2 linked regions of the Macaca mulatta genome follow. The protein of the gene in region 2 purifies or fractionates together with the protein of the main gene of each other region. This does not show direct contact. Links are inferred from orthologs where the notes say so. Each region holds a gene or a part of one and is shown on either strand. Other genes may lie near its edges.

Region 1 (3,648 bases), on a different chromosome or scaffold from region 2:
GTGAGACCCTGTCTCTAAAAAATAAAAATAAAAAAAATAGCCAGGTGTGATGGCACATGCCTGGTCACAGCTACTTGCGAGGCTGAGGGAGGAGTATTGCTTGAGCCTAGGAGGTGGGGTCGAGGCTACAGTGAGCCATGATCACACCACTGCACTCCAGCCTGGGTGACAGAGCTAGATCCTGTCTCAAAATAAAAAAACACAACAACAACAACAACAAAACCTCAACAAAGACAAAAATATAGTGAGACAAACATTCATGAACAGAGACACAATTGTTTTGGAAAGTAATGCAGCAACAGTTATCACCAAGAGCCCTAAGAAGTTCACAACCTTTGAACTAGTAATTCCACTTCACAATGGGTGACAGCTAGGTGGATGGGCAGATGAGTGGACAGACACACCAGGGTGCAGATGGAGAGAAGAATGGATGAGAGACCAGATGTACAGAGGCCGTCATGGGAGCAAGACAGCAGAGCCCATGAAGTAACTGCAGGAATACAGGGCATGAACCCCATCAAACACAGCCACCGCCCACAGTCCCCCACACTGGACCTGACCTCTGAGCTCTCTGGGGCCACACTTCCTAGTCCCTCTTCTCAGGGTCCTACTGAGGACAACTGCACCATCTGACTCCCCTACCCCTTCCATGGACACTCCCAGGGAGCAGCTTGTGCCTTCCAGCTCTGTGGTCAGGTTACCTTTGTTCCCAGCTCTTGACTTGTGTAGCTGGGAGCCTCTTGGGTTTGAATGTCCATTTCGGCAAGAAGCCTCTGTCCCTGGCCGATCTGTTTGAGCAGGGCCTCATAGTCCTCAATCAGGCCCAGGACGTGGCGGCCGTTCTTGCTGGCCCACAGGCGGTGGCCAGCGACCAGGCGGGACACACACGGAGTGCTAGTTGCCGAGCTGCCACTGTCACAGGAGAGGGAGTCCGTGTCATTCTCAGAGAGTGGAAGAGTCTCTGAAACTGTAAAATGAGAGGTAGGATGTAAAATCTGTTTCAGGTAACACTCTGCGTTCAAGGCGCTTATGATGTTGAAGCTAGCTAGGAGGGCTAGGAGAGGCCCTCGTGCCCAAATGCCACCCAACACAAGCCCAGTGGGGAAAAGACGCATGGCTCCTGGACCTCTATCTATTACCCCACACTGGCTTACGAGTCATCTTGTAGGATAGGCTCAAGTCAACTCAACCAACACTTTTCAACCACCCACTCAGCAGAAGACCCCAGATTCACAAGGATAACTCAAGCTGGTGCCTGCATTCCAGTAGCCCACAGTCTGATCAGAACACAGACACTGCGGAAGGTGCAACAGCAGAGTGATGAAGGGCCAGAGCCAGGAAAAACAATTATCTGTGCAGGGAGGGAGAGAACAGGGAAGGCTTCTGAGAAGGAGCAGCATTTGAGCTGGACTGAGCAAGAAGCAAGAATTACACTAATGATGAGTCATTCTGACCAGGGACAGCAGCAAAGCCATGTCACAGAAAAATGTGCATTCATGATGAGTCTTGAGGAAATGGGACTTTTACTGGCAAAGAGTGGGACAAAGGGGGTCTAAAAGTCACAGTGAGAGGAAAGTGTGGGCCTGTCTGCAGGATGGTGACCCCTGTGTGGCTACACCAGGGTAAGGGATAAGGCTGGACGGGCCCACTGGAGCTGGATCCTGGGCGGCCTTGAAAGCCTCACAAAGATGGTCACAATTTTAATCTAAGGCAACAGGGACCCAATGATGTTCTAAGCTTGGTAACACCTAGGAGTAGATTAACTGGCTTGAAGGAGGATATCACCAGCTGGAGATGCTGAGAACTTGAAATCCCAAATCCTTGCCAAATACCCTCCTGAGGTGGGACTAGGGACCCCCTTTTCTGCAATTTAAAAAGTCTTACTGTCACATCCAATGCTGCCACCGTTACCCAGACTTCAGCTTTGTACCTGATTTTGGTGTCACTGCCTGGGAGGAATCAAACAGATCAAATGAATTATCACTTTCCATGGGATCTTTGTCACCATCTACAAAATGCAAAACACGAGAACTGTTAGTTTCACTGCTGTCAGCATTCAAGAGAGAACTGAATGAGAATACAGTCAAGCCCCTCACATTCACTAATTCATACACACACAAGCATTCCTTCAAATCTTCACTAGGCCTCTGTCCTGCCAGGCCCACCTGTGTGGGACACCAGGGAGACAGAGTGACCAGGCCCAATCCGTTCCCTAGAAAAACTCTTAGCAGAAAAGTAAACAAGCAATTTTATTTTAGTGTTAATGAAAACACAGGCTGTTGAGGCTCAGGTGAGGGCACTACCCCCAACTTGGCTTCCCAAAGGCTAACACCTGTTTTAAAACCTTATGTGTTTTGTTTGTTTGTTTGTTTGTTTGTTTGTTTTTTGATGGAGTCTTGCTCTGTCACCCAGGCTGGAGTGCAGTGGCACAATCTCGGCTCACTGCAAGCTCCGCCTCCCAGGTTCATGCCATTCTCCTGCCTCAGCCTCCCGAGTAGCTGGGACTACAGGCGCCCGCCACCACGCCCGGCTATTTTTTGTATTTTTAGTAGAGATGGGGTTTCACCATTTTAAGACTGACTGTGACTGACCTGTGGTAAGAAGGAGGGAAAGAAATGCCAGGCAGCACAATGGGCAGGTGAGAGGCAGACAGTGGGACGAAGAGTGGAATCATCACTCAGGGAGAAATAAGCAGTTCATAGACCCAAGGCCCAGGGGGCAGGGAAGGACAAAGTAGGATGCAAGGCCAGAACCAAGAGGACTGAGGGGCCCACTCAAGGGCTTTGGGCAACGCAATGTCAAGCTGAGGTCTGTATTTTGTACTGGAGGAGTTTTTTTTCTGTCTGGAGGCTGCCACACTAATCTAAGCCAGAGATGAGAGTAACCCACAATAGGATCTGGGGGGTGATGTATTTGCAACACTGTAAGGAGGCAAAATCAATAGATGATGTACAGATGATCTGTGCAACACGTAATAATTTGGAAAGCACTTTCACATATGAAAAGCTATTGGACTCAATAGCTCAGTGGGCAGAACACATTGTAATTCAGATTTCATGGAAGGGGAAACCAAGTGGCAGAGATAGAAAGTGATCTGTCCAGCATAACCCAGCACGTCAGTGGCAGAGAGCAAGCGAGCCCAGGGTTTAGGATCCCCCCATCAGAGCTCCTGCACCACTGGGCAGTGGGCTGCTGCACTCCAGCACCACCCAAGGGTCTGCTACAGTTCCTAAGGCCAAGGAGCCAGGAGGTCAGCTCCATAGAGCTGGCCCTGAGAGGAATCACTCTCAGCGAAAGACATCAGCCTTTAGAACATAATTTTAAAAACAGATGCACTTAAATACAGACCTGAGAAGTCTTTTGCAAAGGAAGAAATGCTGCTGCCTACAATTCTGATCTTGACTCAAGAAAATTAGAAAACTTTTCTGCTGAGGCAACACCGTGAATTCTGAATGCTCTCCTGGATGCCTCTTGCCACACATGCTGAGGGCTGCTTTCGGCAAATTTCAAAGGCAAAGGCTGTTTGATGGCCTCCTCGCTTCAGCTACCCAACGCTCCTTCCTGGGCACCCCAAGCACAGAACTCTTCTCCTTGCTTCAATCTCCCCTAGCCCACCCCCACAAGCTCCTCAAAGCCTTAAAAAGGGCC
Region 2 (4,351 bases):
GGAATTCACATTAAGAGAATTCTAGATTACTGTTATTAAATTACAACCATGCTAGTAAAGTAACACTTATTAATGACTCAGTAATCATTCTGCTCATTCATTAAGCAAATACATATAACTACTATTTGAAAGGCATTATATTACGGTGCATTAATATCAATAGTAAGAGCCTTATTAGTAATTCTATAAAATGAGATCGTAGCATTTAAAACACTTTAACAAAATCTGGAAAAATATCCCCCAAATCCCACTGCAGCTCATCCCTCTTTGTACTTATCACCCAGAGTCTGTCTCTCCCACTAAACAGTGAGCAACTTGAGAGCAGACACTGTCACCACCTCTAGGTATAAAATGGGGGTTCAATATAGGTTTGCTGAATGACATTATAATCCAGAGTTTTTCAGTTCTAATCTGAAAGCACACGTTTATACAAATGAAATAATGTATACGTTATTTTTGATAATGCCCTTTCCACACTATTTTTCATATTCCTAGCAATCTTCATAATCTTAATGGCTTTAAAATATTCCATCATGTTTATATAACTTAGAAAATGATTCTCTTCATGTTGTCTTTAAAAGTTATTTCCAGGGTTTTTTTGTTTGTTTGTTTGTTTGTTTTTTGAAACAGGATCTCATTCTGTTGCCCAGGCTGAAGTGCAGCGGCATGATGATGGCTCCCTGCAGCCTCGAACTCCTGGGCTCAAGTGATCCTCCCACCTTAGACTTCCGAGTAGCTGGGAATACATACAGGCGCACACCACCATGCCCAGCTATTTTTTTTTTTTTTAATTTTTTGTGGAGTCTATGTTGCCCAGGTTGGTCTTGAACTCCTGGGGTCAAGCGATCCTCTCGCCCCAGGCTCCCAATGTCAGCATTTTTACATTGTATAGTTAATGTTGCAGCAAACATACCTTGCCTTACAAGTCTCATAGATTTCTATCTTACTGGAAAAAGGACTAAATTCTAAAAGAAGGTAATCTTTTACAACAAAAATTCATCTTAAACATGTTGGTTTTTACCCCATACGCAGAATTTTGAAAGACAAAGAAACACACAAAGAAACTAGAATTGTATTTTGCCAAATCAACTACAACTGCAAGCAATTTAAATAAATCCTCTATTATGAAATGTGTATGTCCAAAGTAAACCATGTTTTGTAGGACTGCTTCACATATATTTAGGAAAGATATTTCTGGGGGCAGGCAATAAAAATTCTGAGGTAACAGACAAATAAGATATCTAATTAGATCTTCAGTGCTTTTGGAGGGGGCACACACTTCATCTCCACTACTTCCTTAGATGCACAGAGCTTGCTCAGCCCCTCAGACTGCACAAGTGTAAGCGCTTGGGCTTCTAAAGGTACCCTGATTACCCTTTCCCACCATTTATAGATCCGAAAGTAAAAATTTACCTGGCTATATACAAGCATTTAAATCTTGACCTTAAATAGAGGGATCCTATAGGAAAGTCAACTATATTTTAGAAATATGAAGCTAGTTTTTACATTTATATTCATTTAACAAACTTGTGTTGAGCTTCTATCACTGCATCTCTGCGGTATGGCCCTTCATTGCTAATAAATCACCAACCTGGGTTCCTTTGTTTATGTGCGGAGAAGAGAAAAGAAAGGAAGATAGGAAAAACAGTTACCTGTAATACAATTTTTTGTCCAAGTATGACTGCTAACAATTATCTCTAAAAAGAATATAATCTATAAAAGAAGACTTCATTGAAGGGAGGAAGGGGGCTTTTGAGCCCAGACAAAATATACGCTCAAATATGTAATTTTTAAAAGAAATATGCTACGCAGCTTATATTTTGTATATGTTAAATTTCTCATGAAGCCCAATGAACGATGCCTCTGTATAATTGTGTATTGTATTGTTTGCTTTACAGGCTTTTCCATACACGTACACACACATATACACACACACGCACACGCATAATCAGGATTCGCCAGAGAGATATATAACAACTAAATTACTTAAAGCAGGAATTCTATAGGTGTTACTAGGCATATGGAACCTTTCGGTCCCCAGAAGTTCCATTCACAGACTGCAATAACATTCCATACGACACAAAAGCGCATGCCATGACAAAGACCTTCAAGTACAAACATACAAAGACACGCTTCTAAAAACGCCCCTAAAGCCAAGTTCACAGCTGGCACTTGTGGCACACACAAGCCACTGCTGAGACAGCTGTCACAGGCCAATCACACACACCCAAGAGTGCCAGCGTGCCACCTAAGGAAGACAAGCCGATGATCAGCGCACAAATCCCCAACCCAATAAAGAAAAGCCCTAAATCCCCACCCTGGAAAACACAATGCCTGCACCACCCAGAAAACTCCTTAAAAAATGAAAGGTCGGAGGTTTAGAAGCAACTAAACACTAGTTTACAGCAATACAGTAAAAGGGGAGTTTTATTTGGACATTCACGAGAAAGAAGGCACAACATTCAATCCTCACGGAAGTATTATCAGCTAGCTAGCAGCACAAGGCTTTGTCCCCCAACTGGAAAAAGGGGAAAGGAGGAGGGCGAGGAGAGATGCAGACCCTGCAGCACCTCCCTCTCCGGCAGTGCACTGAGGCTGCAGCGAACTCAGCTTCCCAGACCCCCTCCCACCCATTGCTAGCCATCGCCTCCCACTGCAGGCCCAGTTGCCTCGGGCTCTCCTACCTTGGCTTTGCCGGCTTCCAGCTTCTTCTGTCTCTCCTCGTCCTCCATGGCCTCTGCAAGGAAGGCAGGGGAAAACAGGGGTTGAGGGGTGGTCGGAGAAAGGTCGGTTTCGACGGAGGTGGGACAGCAAGCTCCGCTGCCCAGAGAGCCGAGCCAGGCCGGCGCTCCCCCGCCCGAAGTGGAAACAGTCTCGGCGCTCACTGGCTGATCGCCCTCAGCCGCACGGGAAGCGCCGTCACCGCCGCCGCCGCCGCCATCTTCGTCTCCACGTAAACACACGGCGAGGCGGGAGGGGCTGGAACGTCTGTCCGCGCAGCCGCCTCGCGGGCAGGTGCGTCTGGGGTCCCGCCCCGGCCCAGCCCTCCGGGGTCAACCCCCGCCAGGCCTGGGACCGGCCTCCGACCCGCGAGGATCCCGCCGTAGGGAGCGCCCTTCCCGCACATCAATGGCTCGCAGGTGGCGGCCGAGCTGAGGGGTAGAAGGGACGGAATGTGCCAGAGGCTCCTGGCCGGACCCCCACCCTCCGAGGAATCCAGTGCTATTAAAACATGAGTTTTTTGTTTTTTCCTTCAAGTTACAAAAATAACACACCTAATGGTGAAATTGGCGAACACCTAAAAGCTCCAATGGAAAAGTTCCAGGGGTGGAGGGTGGTGGGGGGGCGGACGCCAGTTTTTCTACCTACGTTAACTCCTCGACTCAAGGAATTATGAGAGGAGCTAATTGCTCTTGTTACTTCCTTAGCCTGAAAAGTCCCTCCCTCTTCCCTCCACTGGTTCCCACTCAATCTCCGGTTCATCCTTCTAGTCCTATCGCACACGCTGCCTCCAAATGGCTTTTCTGACCTCCTGTTCCCTCCACGGCAACCGAGACACATCCAGTCAAAACGTACTCCCCTCCCCCGACTCCTTCGGGCTTCCCTTTAACAGTAGCGTTCTGAAAGGAGCTTGAGCTTCAGAACCTAGGTTAGGGACAATGCCAGACTACACCAACTTTCTAGCTTTAATGACAAGTTTCCTATTCTCCCTGAGCCTACCTGGAATTTTTGGAAGGGTTGTTAATATATGTAACTGCCCTGGCATATTAAAACGTTCTTAATGTCAGCTTTATTTCTCCTTGGACTTCCTTTATGTACCCTATTAAAATAGGGTACCCTGCACCATATTTTAATAATTTGTGTGCGTCTTAGTTCAGCTCATACTCCCAGGTCCTTGATGACAGAGAATCATCATGAGTCTTGCTCATCTTGGTTTTACTAAAATGACCAGCACAGAGCTCTGCACTCAATAAACGCTTTTTGGATTGAATTGAGCAGTGTTTATAAATTTAGCATTACTATCTTTCCTTGTTTCCCCTACATGTGCTCCCTCGATCCTTTGTATTCTTCTCCCTACCCTCCAACGCTCAAATCCATTCCTGGAGTGAACTACACATTTCAATGTCTCTGGTTGATTACTCAGGTTTCATATTTATGTGCGGAGAAGAGAAAAGAAAGGAAGAGAGGAAAAACAGTTACCTGTAATACAATTTTTTGTCCAAGCATGATTGCTGACAATTATCTCTAAAAGAATATGTATATAAAAGGAGAGACTAAAGACCTAAAGTCTGACTACAAACTGAGGATGAGTTTTAAATAGCCCTCGTTTAGAAATCTTAGCTTTAAAAAA

Evidence for each region. The genes of interacting proteins can lie anywhere in the genome.
Region 1: the proteins of AKAP9 (region 2) and CDK5RAP2 purify together in Homo sapiens (affinity purification with western blotting; 4 studies listed by BioGRID and IntAct, with this or other methods). This does not show direct contact. The link is inferred for Macaca mulatta from reciprocal best matches to the Homo sapiens genes AKAP9 and CDK5RAP2.

The regions. Positions count from the first base shown.
Region 1 is NC_133420.1:37,798,723-37,802,370, reverse strand, and holds part of CDK5RAP2 (CDK5 regulatory subunit-associated protein 2), read right to left. Parts: intron 2,009-3,648; coding exon 1,931-2,008; intron 968-1,930; coding exon 702-967; intron 1-701. UniProt on the Homo sapiens protein: Potential regulator of CDK5 activity via its interaction with CDK5R1. Negative regulator of centriole disengagement (licensing) which maintains centriole engagement and cohesion. Involved in regulation of mitotic spindle orientation.
Region 2 is NC_133408.1:127,434,030-127,438,380, forward strand, and holds the start of AKAP9 (A-kinase anchor protein 9), read right to left. Parts: upstream 2,887-4,351; 5' UTR 2,733-2,886; coding exon 2,685-2,732; intron 1-2,684. UniProt on the Homo sapiens protein: Scaffolding protein that assembles several protein kinases and phosphatases on the centrosome and Golgi apparatus. Required to maintain the integrity of the Golgi apparatus. Required for microtubule nucleation at the cis-side of the Golgi apparatus.